3 linked regions of the Nothobranchius furzeri genome follow. The protein of the gene in region 2 purifies or fractionates together with the protein of the main gene of each other region. This does not show direct contact. Links are inferred from orthologs where the notes say so. Each region holds a gene or a part of one and is shown on either strand. Other genes may lie near its edges.

Region 1 (4,376 bases), on a different chromosome or scaffold from region 2:
GCCCTAAAAGCAGTTTCCTGCTCCTCTGCCCTACTGGTTGAAAGTGGAACTACAACTGTCGTAAACAACCCTCCAGCAGCTCGCTGTAGCTAGCGCTAACAATCAGCTAACACTAACATCAGCCAACTGATACTAAAATAAGCCAGTAAGTAAAAAAAATCCAAACTGTCGGACAAAAATATTATTACTTACAAGTCCTGTAGCAACAAAGCCAGGTCACCATCAGTCCATGTTTTTGTTTAGCTCCCTTAAACGAGTGTAGGCTGCGCTGATGTTCACTCTGGTTTTAGCTCTTCTGCTTCGCCTTCACATACATTACTCACTTACTTTTACTTGAAAAGCAAACTTCTTATTGATGATCGGCAAACTGAGCGCCATGTGGGACACTTACCCGCTCCACAAAACTATCAAGGGCGATTTTTAGTCAGCAGGGGGCTGCAGTGGTGCCAAACATGAAACTGGTCAAGTTTCTAACTCAACAATCACTGAGACCAATGTTAAAGCTCAAGCTTAAAGTAAAAAAAAAAACAACTATCAATCGTTACTTTAAACCAGTGTTTCTCAATGCCTTTCCATCACGCCCCCCGGGGAACATATGCTCTGGATCAGAAGGTTCTGTTACCTTTCCAAGCTGTAACTGGTCCCAGTTGGCAGAGACAAAGGCCAGAATCTCATCCAACTCAAAGTATTTCTTCTTGCTGCTGACTGACAGGTTGTAAAGGACAATGTGGACCACATCGACCCACCTGAGGGACAGACGGCGGACATACTCTGACCCTTTGTTGCACACGGCACACAGGAACAGGTAAAACCTGAGAAAAACCAGACAACAGTCAGGATTTTCCACAGGAGGAATTGTGGACTGGATGAAGTTTCCGTCTCTGAACCTGTCTCCAAACATCATGGACTCCTGCAGACACTGAATACACGCCTCGTGGAACCACTGCTGACACTTAAAACACTGCATCATCTTCAGGTACCACCTGCACACAGAACAACATCAGCTGCCGGTTCAACACACCTGGACAGACTTGGTCCTGATTGGTCACACTTACTCTCCAGGACCACCACAGTAACAGTAACACTGCTGCTGATTGGTCCTATGCTGAGAGTCCCAGCTCAGAGAGGTCAGGTCGTAAGGCAGAACCTGCTTCATGGCCCAAAGAGCTTTGGCCAGCGCTCCTTTCTTCAGGGCACCGCCTTTCTGTGATGACACAGGAGGACCGGTCATGTGGGGTTACCAATCAGAGACAGGAAGGAAGGGCAGGAAGGAAAACCGGTACCCGCACAGCCAGAGCAAAAACACAGCGCCTGCAGAACCACGGTCTCAGGTCGCTGCTATCGCCCTCTACTGGAGGAACATGGCACTGCTGGTGGAAACCTGCCAGAGACACGGGTAAAACAGGTGAGGGGACACCATCTCCACACAGCCAGTCTCTGTCCAACCCACCAGACTCACCTATGCCACACTTTCCACAAATCAGAATTCCATTGGTGTGTTTTGATTGGTTCTCAGATTTTGGCTCCACTCCGTTGCACACGGAGCAGTGAGGCTCCTCCCCCGGTATCCCAGCTGTAATGTGATTGGACAGATTTTCATGCATCAGAAGGGAGCCTAAGTCTCCTCCCCTCCCGGTCGGCTCACGAGTCCCCAGAACAAAGAAAAAATGAACGTAAGTGAACGGGGCGATGAAAGCGATTAGGCTTTTCCTCAGAATCACGCGCATGTTGTAGTTCGACTCAAACGAAAGGTAATATTGTGTTTTGGACTATGCGACTTAGGCTCCCCATGTGTGGTTCTGGTCCAGTTGTGTTCAGGTTGAAAGCTCATCATCACATCTTCAGCTGGAGACACCATCTTGATGCCTAATGTAGTCTCCCTAACCCACGTCATGAATATTAATGAGGAAGACTCATAATCCATGTTTTCCGCTGACCCATTCTTCCGATAACCTATCAGGATAATCAGACTAACCGACTAGTTAAAGGGAAAGTGACTGGCTAGTTAGCTAACCGTCTCACCATGTTGGATGTCCTTCCACAGCACCCAGAACTTGGAGTTGTCCTCGAAGGTGACGAAGCAGCTCTGCCTGGGGGAGCTCACCTGTTCATCAGTCAGAACAGCATTTTGAGCTCTCGACCAGTCAGGTGATGCTACTGACAGTGTGATGTCAGGTGTGTCTGAAGCTGGACTCACCCTCTGTATCCTCCCCACATAGTACAGTCCATCTGACCAATGACAGAGCACGAACTGACCAATAGTCAGGCAAGACTCCGGCCCCTCAACATCCTCTGGGATTGGTCCACTAAGACATGCCCCGCCCCCTGGACACACCTGATGTTCCACACCAGAGAAGGCCTGGACCAGGTCCTCAAACATCCTGGGAAGGAGGGAGAGAGAGAGACCGTTGAGCAGAACAAGCAGACAAAAGGCGCGCGCACAGGAACTCTCGGTCGAACTCTGATTCATTCCTGAACTGTCAAGGGGGTTTCTGACATGTGTGAGCATGCGCAGTGCATCCCTCCACCACAGACCGTTAACTAACCTACTAACCACATAACCACCACACCCTGAGCTCGTTACCGACCAGAAACTACCGGCAAGACCCAGTTACAATAAAACGGGGTTAACACTGACGTTTTTTTTAATCACAGACACATAATGAAGCCGACTTGTCAAGAACCGGAGCCGGTTCTCCACTGAGCCGTCTCACCTCATCTGATGCGGGCTGTGTCCTCCTCTCCCGTTATCCGGCGCTCCGAACTGCACCGTTAGCCGCGGAGGGTCACAGGTCCTCCGGCGAGCCCCTTCTGCTCTGTCCCCCTGTCTCTTCTAGTCTGTCCCCGGTCTTCGTCCCTTCCTCCGTCTTTGTCTCTTGGTCTCTGTCCTCACCGCAGTCTCTGCCTTCACTTCAAACTCCCACAATCGCCATTTTTTCATTTTCCCGCGAATCGCAGGATGTTTGTAGATACGTGATGACGCCATATCCGAACCCCGTATAATCAGAATGTATGGCAAGCCGTTTTTACATTTATTAGGCACTCTCAGAAAGCACTAAGTCCTATTTGCTAGTAAAAATTTACAATATTCAGATATCCATAATAGTATTCTTACCATCCCTAACGACCGATTAAAGATGTAAAAGACTACATTGTTATTGTTGTATTTTAGACAGCATTATTTGGCTTAGTTTGACGTAGCAGCAAAACCTTTTACACTGAAAATCTTGTAGCGAGAAAAGACTGTAATTACATTAAAATATAAATATTTCATTTTGAATGTTTCACTTTATATTTTACTATTCTACTTGCAATGACACAACTGAGCACAGTGCAACATGTCTGACAGGCACAACTGAGTCTTGGCTTCAGCCTATTGCACTATCAAATACAAAGAATTTTTTACTTGTTGGTGTACAAAGTTTTTAAAAAGTGGAGTAGTCAGGTGACAAGACATCGCCTTGCAAGGCGGTTTTAAACACCCCCCGACTCCACAGACAAACTGGTACAGCGTGGATGGAGTTAGCGTGTTCTCCGCACCATTAGCTGGCTTTTTACTGAATATTATTCTGTTTTTGTTCATGAACTTGTGAGAAAATACTGAAACACTGTTAAAATGTCACAGCAAATGTCAGTTTTTTATTCATATCTAAAATCAGATTTAAGCAAGGAGACAAATGGAAGAGCAGCGGATCCTTTAATATTAAAACCTCCCTAATATGTAACCAAACATTAGTCATACAGAAACAAGTACCGCCTATAGAGACTGTGAACAGGAACCCATCCGCTGTTTACAGGTAGAAAAAATAGTTGTCACACTTTATTTAACAGGTGAGGACTGATATCAGGTCCTGGCTGGTTTGATGTCCAAGATCCTGGTTTAGGACTCAAGTTTTCTGGGTCGTATCTTCATCTCAGTGAACTGAAGAGAGTACTGCCAGCCGGTCCAACTGGACCACTCAACACCATCAGCGTAGGAGGCGTGGCCTCCTCTGAGGTACTGCCCGTTCAGGTTGGAAGTATGGCAGTTCCGATACCACCACGCCCCCTGATAGTACGCCGCACAGTTGTTCTCAGACTGGTCCTGGTCACGATCTTTGGTGGTGAATCGCATCCCCGAGTGTTTCAGGAGAGAGTCACCTGGAGGAGGCAGAGCATCGGTGTTAAAGCTGTACCAGGAATGTGTGGTAAAGGTAGTACTGTTCAGTACCTGCAGTCCCAGAGTACCCATCCACCAGCAGTGGGTAGCCATCCTCCTCTGGGTTCACAGAGTCTCGACCAACAGAAAAGTCTGAGTAATGAGCAAAAGCTGTGGCGTTGTCAAAGTCGGCCATGTCAATACGTAACTCGAAACCACCCGACCTGGTGAGTGAGTA
Region 2 (3,738 bases):
GGAGTTTTTAAAAAGATCCGTTTTTGTGTGAAAAAACTCCGTTTTCATGTGGATGACAGGCCAAAACGTAGAAAAATATCTACGTTTTGGCAGATCCCCGGCTACGTGTGGACAGGGCCTTACCCTCTTGCTTGAGGGTGTCAATGATGCCCTTCTGGACAGCAGTCAGGTCGGCAGTCTTACCCATAATTGCGGTTTTGAGTAATGAACCAGGCTGGGAGTTTTTAAAAGCCTCGGGAATCTTTTGCAGGTGTTTAGAGTTAATTAGTTGATTCAGATGATTATGTTAATAGCTCGTTTAGAGAACCTTTTCATGATATGCCAATTTTTTGAGATAGGAATTTTGGGTTTTCATGAGCAGTATGCCAAAATCATCAATATTAGAAACAATAAAAGGCTTGAAATATATGAAAATCTAATGTTTATCAGTACATTACAGAAAATAATGAACTTTATCACAATATGCTGTTTTTTTGAAGGACCTTTATATATATATATATATATATATATATATATATATATATATACATATATATATATATATATATATATATATATATATATATATATATAGTTTGTTTTGTTTTGTTTTTGTTTCTTGTAGAACTGTTTCCTAATAATTGACAAGAATTTAGCATCTCTGCAGACATCTGGAGAGGCTCTAATTAAGTAAACATGTGTATTTTTCCTTGTTTACCGTTTCAGATTGTGGGCAAAGATCCAGCTAAAAAAAGGTATTATACAAAAATCACAGCTGCCAACTGGCACACACATTACAGCTCACAGTCTTGTTTTGGGGGGTTTTGTCCTTTGTTGCTCCAGATAACTCGTCCAATCAGGTGTACAACTATCAGCCATGTGACCACCCTGACCACCCGTGTGACAGCTCCTGCCCGTGTGTGATGACCCAGAATTTTTGTGAGAAGTTCTGTCAGTGTGAGCACGAGTGTGAGTGTCACCTTTCTCTCCAGCTCCTTGTGAAATCAGGTTGTCTCACATCAACTGTTTTCTTTCTGGGTCGTTGTGACATTTATTTTATTCCCTGAAAGCCGTTTAAAAGACCTCTTTACTGGGTCGGCGTGGATCAGAGCTGCAGGCTGGAATGTGTTTCTGCAGCAGAATAGAAGCTGTCATCTCGTGGGCATAGGTGTTTATCACAGAGCTGCACCTGAAACGAGACACATCTTCTGCGGCAAAATAGTGTTTTCTGAAATGGCCACATGGTGGAAGGAACTTGTTGTTTTTTTATTTAGCTCTCTGGAAAGATATCAGTCCAGACAAAGCAGAACATGAAGTAAACATGTGGCTGAAAGAAGGTTTTAGGCTCAAATTTTCTTCATGTTGTGGTTCGGTCACCTACTCCCCTCCTCCATCTCCTCATTATTACCACACCTTTTCCCGTAGCAGAGGAGCGCCCGGGCCAAACAGGAAGCTGTGCTCATTTCCACATGTGTGCGCTTTAAAGGCTTGGAGAGAAATCAAAGAGATGTCACAAGCTCTGTGGCAGAAATGCAGCATCATCAGTATGAGTCAAACTGCTCCAGCGGAACAAAGCTCGACAAGACAGACACGAAACCCACAGAGGCTAGGAGGAGTTGGGATTTAAAGGAACCACGGAGCTGTCTGGACTTCTTGTTATGGACAATTTCCTTTTACGTAGAAGCTTCTGGGAAGAGATTTCGGATCACTTTTGCTTAAGCTTTGGCTTCATCTGCCCAGAGGGTGTTATGTTACAGTTTTCAAAATTGCATTTGGGCATATCTGCCAGCAGAGGTCTCATGACTGATGAGTCCATCAGCGTAGCCCACCCACTTACCGTCGCTCACATGCTGCAGCTGCTAGATTCAGACGTTCCAGCTGTTATGTTTTATTTTACAGTGTACATTTAAACTTTGTACTTCCTGTCTGTGAACTGGTTTTCAGGCCAGAACCGCTTCCCAGGCTGCAGATGCAAGACTCAGTGCAACACAAAGCAGTGTCCGTGCTACCTGGCCGTGAGAGAGTGCGACCCCGACCTGTGCATGACCTGCGGAGCTGCAGACCACTGGGACAGCAAAGTGGTTTCCTGTAAGAACTGCAGCATCCAGAGAGGCCTAAAAAAGGTTAGTCTGAACATTCCTCGATCTGATATGGTGAGAGTGTGGAAGGTGGGAGCTGGTGGGAAACAATCTGATTTATCTTCTAGCACTTGTTGCTGGCTCCATCAGATGTAGCAGGGTGGGGAACATTCATCAAAGAGCCTGTTCAGAAGAATGAATTCATCTCTGAATACTGTGGAGAGGCATGTTCACTTTGACCTTTATTCAAATGGGTCACAGAGCTTGTGCAAAGTTAATTCTTCTCTTCTTTTTTTTCTGAGCAGCTGATCTCTCAGGATGAAGCAGACCGACGTGGAAGGATCTACGACAAATACATGTCCAGCTTCCTTTTCAACTTAAACAATGGTAAGTTTGTGTTTCTATAGCTTTCCACAGGCAAACAGGTTCAGCGTGTTGACAGAATCCCGTTGTGTCCCTTTAGATTTTGTTGTGGACGCCACTCGAAAGGGTAACAAAATCCGTTTTGCGAACCATTCTGTGAATCCCAACTGCTACGCTAAAGGTGACTTGGTTTGATTTGGATTCAGCGTTTTCCAAAGAGTTGTGTGAGCTGATGTTTTGTTTATTACTGTCCCAGTCGTGATGGTTAACGGAGACCACCGGATTGGAATATTCGCCAAACGAGCTATCCTGCAAGGAGAAGAGCTCTTCTTTGACTACAGGTAGAGTCACGGGCCTTTTTGTGACTCTCCATCAGCTTACAAGTAAATTTTAAAAAAAGGAAAACAAAGCCACTACATATTGTTTATTTAGTGGCTTTTAGTTGTGTATTTTACTAATTTTCTCCTTAATGTTCCTCCCCCACAGATACAGCCAAGCCGATGCCCTCAAGTACGTCGGAATCGAGAGGGAGGTGGACTTGTCTTAGCTTTGCTGCTGTACTTACAACCTGGCTTTTGTTCCTCATCTCTGTCATTATGCAAGCTTTTACTGCATTCATCATGCTGATCAGTGAAATGCATATGCTGTCTTTGGACACGGATATCAGTTTCATGCGTTAGCTGCCGCAGTAGCTTCAGTCAGACGCTCCTCTCATGCACCCGGCATTCTAGATGATGTTGCACCCTGATTGGTCTTCAGAAAAAAGCGTGTCCAGGTTTGACAGCTTGGTTTGTTTCTCAATGAATATGTACAGCAGCTAGCATCACAACCACATCTATGTGGGTTTAAAAAAAATGTGCATTTACGTCAGCGTTTTGCAAAAATTATCAAAAAATTACAGGTAACCCGATGAGAAACCGACTGACTGAATGTAACGTGTTGATGACTCATTGTTTTTTTTTTTGTTTTTTTTTTTTACATTATTGGTACTTAAAGAAATGTGTATATCTGAAATATTTAGCATCATGTGAATATTATCACACATTACCAGGCAAATTAATGGTAAATAAATTAGTCTCAGATTAATTGTCTTCCTTTAAAATCGAATTAAAAAGTGCCAAATAATTCCTCACGTATATGCTAAATAAACTTGCATGTGAAATGTAGCTTGGTTTCCATGTCAAGGTTATAACAATAGTGATGTATGATTATGAGTGTTTGACCAAATATGGGCGTCGCATCATGTGAAACATTCATTTATCATGTCTATAATTTCAGACCCACATTATTGTCCACACTGTTGTTCAGTTATAAAACA
Region 3 (4,198 bases), about 55 Mb from region 2:
ATTTACCAGAGGCCATTTTGAACCAGCGGTGTTACCGTGCTCGTGTCTGACTGGTGAAATAAACACACGAACAATCTGGGATTTGTCAGAACTAACCAGTAAGCACGTAAGTGAGCTAATGTAATATTTTAGGGTCTTTTATTAAGTACTTCTCATTTTATTTGAAGTTAACTCATGTTGTTGGATAACTTGATTTATATCGGTATAGTTTCATATTTTGAGAAAATGTTGAAGCAAGTGTGCACGAGTTCCTCATGATGAGTAAAACGAAACTTTTCAGAATCAGTTGTATACCGCTGATGTCCTTAAATGACCTGTGAAAGAAGAGTAAAGTTCATGTCAGCAGAGACTAAAATTACAAGACCTTTTAAAGTGTTCTGCTGTTAAACTTTTCTCCACCGGTCTCCTAAACTTGTTGAAGACCAATCAACGAGGCGGGAAAATACACTAATTGGCTGCTTAATTGGCCGCTGTTACGCGCGCTTCCACCGAGGCTGTGGTGCCCTCCTGCTGCCCTTAGAGCTCAGGCATCACTGTATTGTCACAACTGTTTACCGGTCATGCTCTCAGACGATAAGGAGCCCCCCTCCTCGGTCGGATATGTCGGTGTTTTATGTCTGCGTCACAACAAGTCGGCGGAGAGCGAGCGGGAGGGATGATGGCGTCTCTGGCGGCTTGATTCCGGCGCAGCTTTGACAAACCCGCACCGTATTAGTAGCTGGGGGGGGGGGGGGGGGACGGAGGGGGAGCAACAGCGACGGGAACATGACGAAACGGCATCGCGGAGGACGGACAAACTAGACTGAAAGACGGACAGTCGCCTTTGTCCTCCTCCTCTTCCTCCTCCTCCCCCTCGCTGACGGCTTGACTGACACACTGGCGCCTGGCAGAGACACAGAATACATGCACATCTTCTACTTTTCTGTTTCCTTTTCTTTTTTTTTTTCTTTTCCACCAAAAGCTGCGCATCGCAGCAGGCAGGAATCTGGGCAGCAGGGATCCACGGCAGATGAGGGCATTTCCTGTCCAGGAATCACCGTGACCCCGACGGAAAGGAGTTCGACTTGACAGGTACCCTTCACCGGCCAGCTCACTGTCCAATTGGCTCCATCCTCCATCAGATGCTGCTCAGCATCCTGCATCTGCGTAGACCTGAGTGCATGCACCGGAACAAATGCAGTGTGGAAAAAGAACAGTGTCTGCAGTCATTTCACGCATCTGTTTAAGTTTTCTTAAAAACTGAGAAGGTGGCGACAGCAGCAAAGTCCACCGAGGATGCTTCAAGTGGCTGCACAGGGAGCTCTGCCTGTTCAGTGAAACTGTGTTGCAGTAACCATCATGCAGTGAGTGTGTGTGTATGTGAGTGTGTGTGTGTGTGTTTGATGTGTGCAGTAATCATTTATCTTCCTCTCTGGTTGTGTATACTCACTCTCATCCTTCACTGTGCTGGATACAGGCTGTATGCTCAGGTCTAAGAAGGAGGAGGGGGGGGGGGGGGGGCGTTTAGATTTGAACCCATTTGCACCAAAACCCGACTGTCTGAGAGGCAGTCAGAATGCCGGGGCTGTAAACCCCTCCGTCAGCAGCGGCGGCGGCAAAGTGTTCAGCAAATAAATCGGATTTCCATTTCACACGAGCCCTGCTCTCTCCTCTCTGTGTCTCTCCTCAGGATGGGGGGTGTCAGTGAGGGAGATGATGTGTTGGCTCGTTGGAGTGATGGACTACTGTACCTTGGCAATGTAAAACGGGTATGTGTGTGTGTGTGTGTGTGTGTGTGTGTGTGTGTGTATGTGTGTGTGTTGATCCAAAGCACTCTGATGATGATGATGTTTGGTGTCTGCTCTCCTCAGGTAGACGGAGTCAAGCAGTGTTGTCTGGTGAGATTTGAGGACAACTCTGAGTTCTGGGTTCTGAGGAAGGACATTCACTCGTGTAAGAAAAACTTTCTTTTCCCGTCAGCTGGAGGAGTTAGAAACTTCCCTGCGCCGAGAACTTTTCTGACTGAGCAACAGATTTCAGCAGCGAGTTTCCTGCAAGTCTCCAAATTATTTCAGGCCACGTTTAGGAAGATTTCCTGTTGCTGCTGCTGAAAACGTTTCTGAAAGCTATCATTAACATGCATGTTTTCCTTTTTCAGACTAATGGTTAGAATGTGGTCAGTGAAAGACTATTATTTTTTTACACTTTAATTTGAAGGATTTGGGCTTTCTTGTAAAGTTTTCTTCAGTTCTCTCCTCAGGTTTGATTCTTTTTTTGTCATTTTCTGGTCATAGCAGAATTTTAAGGTAAACATTTTTTTTCATTTGCTTTAAAATGAACACATTTGAGGCCAAAAGAAGTGTCCGAATTAAAGATGCGAGAAAAGTCAGGATGTCTCTAAAGAATCAGGGCCAGAGAGATCCATCATCCTTAAGCTTGATGGCTCTTTCAGCTTCACCTTGTTGGAGCGAAAATCCGCATCTGTACCTGTCAAACTGGGAACTTTTTACTGCCTTTTTAATAGATTCGGCTAAAAACGGAACATGTTGTGTATGTGACAGGCTTCGGGTAACGGCAGAGCTTAAAGAGCCAATTCAGAACTGGTTTTGTTTTGTGTTTACACAATTCTGGCTCTTCTCTTGGGAGCCTTTTTCACATCTGAATGACAGATCAGAGATTTACCTCAGCAAGTCAGGAACCTTTAGTGTCGAAGTCAAAGGGTTGTTACTATGGATGCACATTATATATCTGCATCAGGTCGGTATCAGTTTGATAAGTAAATCTGGGCCGATATTGGCAACAAATATTTCTTCCATCTTGTTTCTGTTTGTGTTTCAGTTTCAGAGGGTGAGAGTGATGTGTGACTGTTTAGTCATGTTACAATGATGCGTAAATGTGTGTGTATGTAATAACACACACACACACACACACACACACACACACACACACACACACACACACACACACACACACACTGGTATCGGCCCAAAATTTCATATTGTGCATCCCTAGTTGTTACTTTATAATAAGAAATGCAGATACACTGCAGATCCAGCAGTGGTGCAAAGAACTGCAACACCCATAATGCATTGTGTAAATGAGCTATTATAGGCCTTTCTAAACACGAACACCCTATTTAGCATTTGGTTCTGAACTCAACCTGTAAATAACTCCTCAGAATGCTCAGCAGTTTCCAAGAAGAATAACAACAACAGTAACAATAACAACAACAACAACAACAACAATAATAATTACAATCAGGTGAAGCTTTTCCTAAAACAGCCTACTTTCAAATTTTCTGTCCATTTTTTGACTATAAAATTGACACTCCCTCGTTATTTATTTCCTAAGTTTCTAATAAAGAAGCTTAATGAACCATTAAAGGACATTCCCAAATGTGGTTGGAAAAGCAGCTGAAGTTCAAAAATGACTTTGGAAAACTTCTGAACAGGACCTATTTTTTAAACAAGGCCTTTTTATTCAAGTTTTAACAGTAGATTTTAAACTTACCAAACTATACGGGACTAAACCCATCGTCCCCACCCACAAAGGAAATAACAGAAACAAACTATAAAGACACACTATCAAATTAAGACAGAAATGGAACAAAACCAGATCCACTACAAGGATGTTTTAAAACAGATTACAATATAGCCTGAGTGCTTGGAAATAAAGAAATAAACAACAAGACTTGAGACTTTTGCACAGTTCTGTTGAAAAACCACAATTTTTGACATTTTATGAAATAAAACTTTAGCTTATCCGCTGTTTGCTTGGACCTCACATGTGCAGTCTTTAGTTATTATGAAACCTGATATAGTCTTGAATATAAATCCCATCAAGATTACTTCTAGGCTTCAAAATAGTTTACTTTCAGACTTAAGCCCTGTCCACACGTAGCCGGGGATCTGCCAAAACGTAGATATTTTCTACGTTTTGGCCTGTCATCCACATGAAAACGGAGTTTTTTCACACGAAAACGGATCTTTTTAAAATCTCTGGCTAAAGTGAAGATCTGCGTTTTCTCCGTTTTGGGTGTCTGCGTGTGGACAGACAAAACCGGAGTTTTAAGGTCCGCAACGTCACTTTCCGCGGCAAAAAACGTTGACATCACGTGTGCGACCTGTGTTTACACTAGCCGACAGCATGGAAGCCCTCGAAGCTGCGCTCTGTCACTACCCGATCCATCAATTGTCCAAGCGCTTTCTGCTTGTTTGTT

The links.
Region 1: the proteins of ezh1 (region 2) and phf19 purify together in Homo sapiens (affinity purification with mass spectrometry; 4 studies listed by BioGRID and IntAct, counting the BioPlex papers as one, with this or other methods). This does not show direct contact. The link is inferred for Nothobranchius furzeri from reciprocal best matches to the Homo sapiens genes EZH1 and PHF19.
Region 3: the proteins of ezh1 (region 2) and phf1 purify together in Homo sapiens (affinity purification with mass spectrometry; 5 studies listed by BioGRID and IntAct, with this or other methods). This does not show direct contact. The link is inferred for Nothobranchius furzeri from reciprocal best matches to the Homo sapiens genes EZH1 and PHF1.

Annotation. Positions count from the first base shown.
Region 1 is NC_091750.1:35,547,100-35,551,475, forward strand, and holds the start of phf19 (PHD finger protein 19), read right to left. Parts: upstream 2,992-4,376; 5' UTR 2,720-2,991; coding exon 2,715-2,719; intron 2,382-2,714; coding exon 2,198-2,381; intron 2,105-2,197; coding exon 2,023-2,104; intron 1,574-2,022; coding exon 1,460-1,573; intron 1,382-1,459; coding exon 1,284-1,381; intron 1,205-1,283; coding exon 1,056-1,204; intron 984-1,055; coding exon 888-983; intron 813-887; coding exon 623-812; intron 1-622. Other genes in the region: fibrinogen C domain-containing protein 1, read right to left, coding at 3,881-4,140, 4,211-4,376.
Region 2 is NC_091745.1:7,469,625-7,473,362, forward strand, and holds part of ezh1 (histone-lysine N-methyltransferase EZH1), read left to right. Parts: intron 1-705; coding exon 706-734; intron 735-822; coding exon 823-948; intron 949-1,923; coding exon 1,924-2,102; intron 2,103-2,185; coding exon 2,186-2,281; intron 2,282-2,362; coding exon 2,363-2,444; intron 2,445-2,520; coding exon 2,521-2,601; intron 2,602-2,676; coding exon 2,677-2,761; coding exon of another isoform or gene 2,762-2,765; exon of another isoform or gene 2,766-2,803; intron 2,804-2,906; coding exon 2,907-2,967; 3' UTR 2,968-3,738.
Region 3 is NC_091745.1:62,322,131-62,326,328, reverse strand, and holds the start of phf1 (PHD finger protein 1), read left to right. Parts: upstream 1-1,207; 5' UTR 1,208-1,338; coding exon 1,339-1,343; intron 1,344-1,669; coding exon 1,670-1,748; intron 1,749-1,850; coding exon 1,851-1,932; intron 1,933-4,198. UniProt on the Homo sapiens protein: Polycomb group (PcG) that specifically binds histone H3 trimethylated at 'Lys-36' (H3K36me3) and recruits the PRC2 complex. Involved in DNA damage response and is recruited at double-strand breaks (DSBs).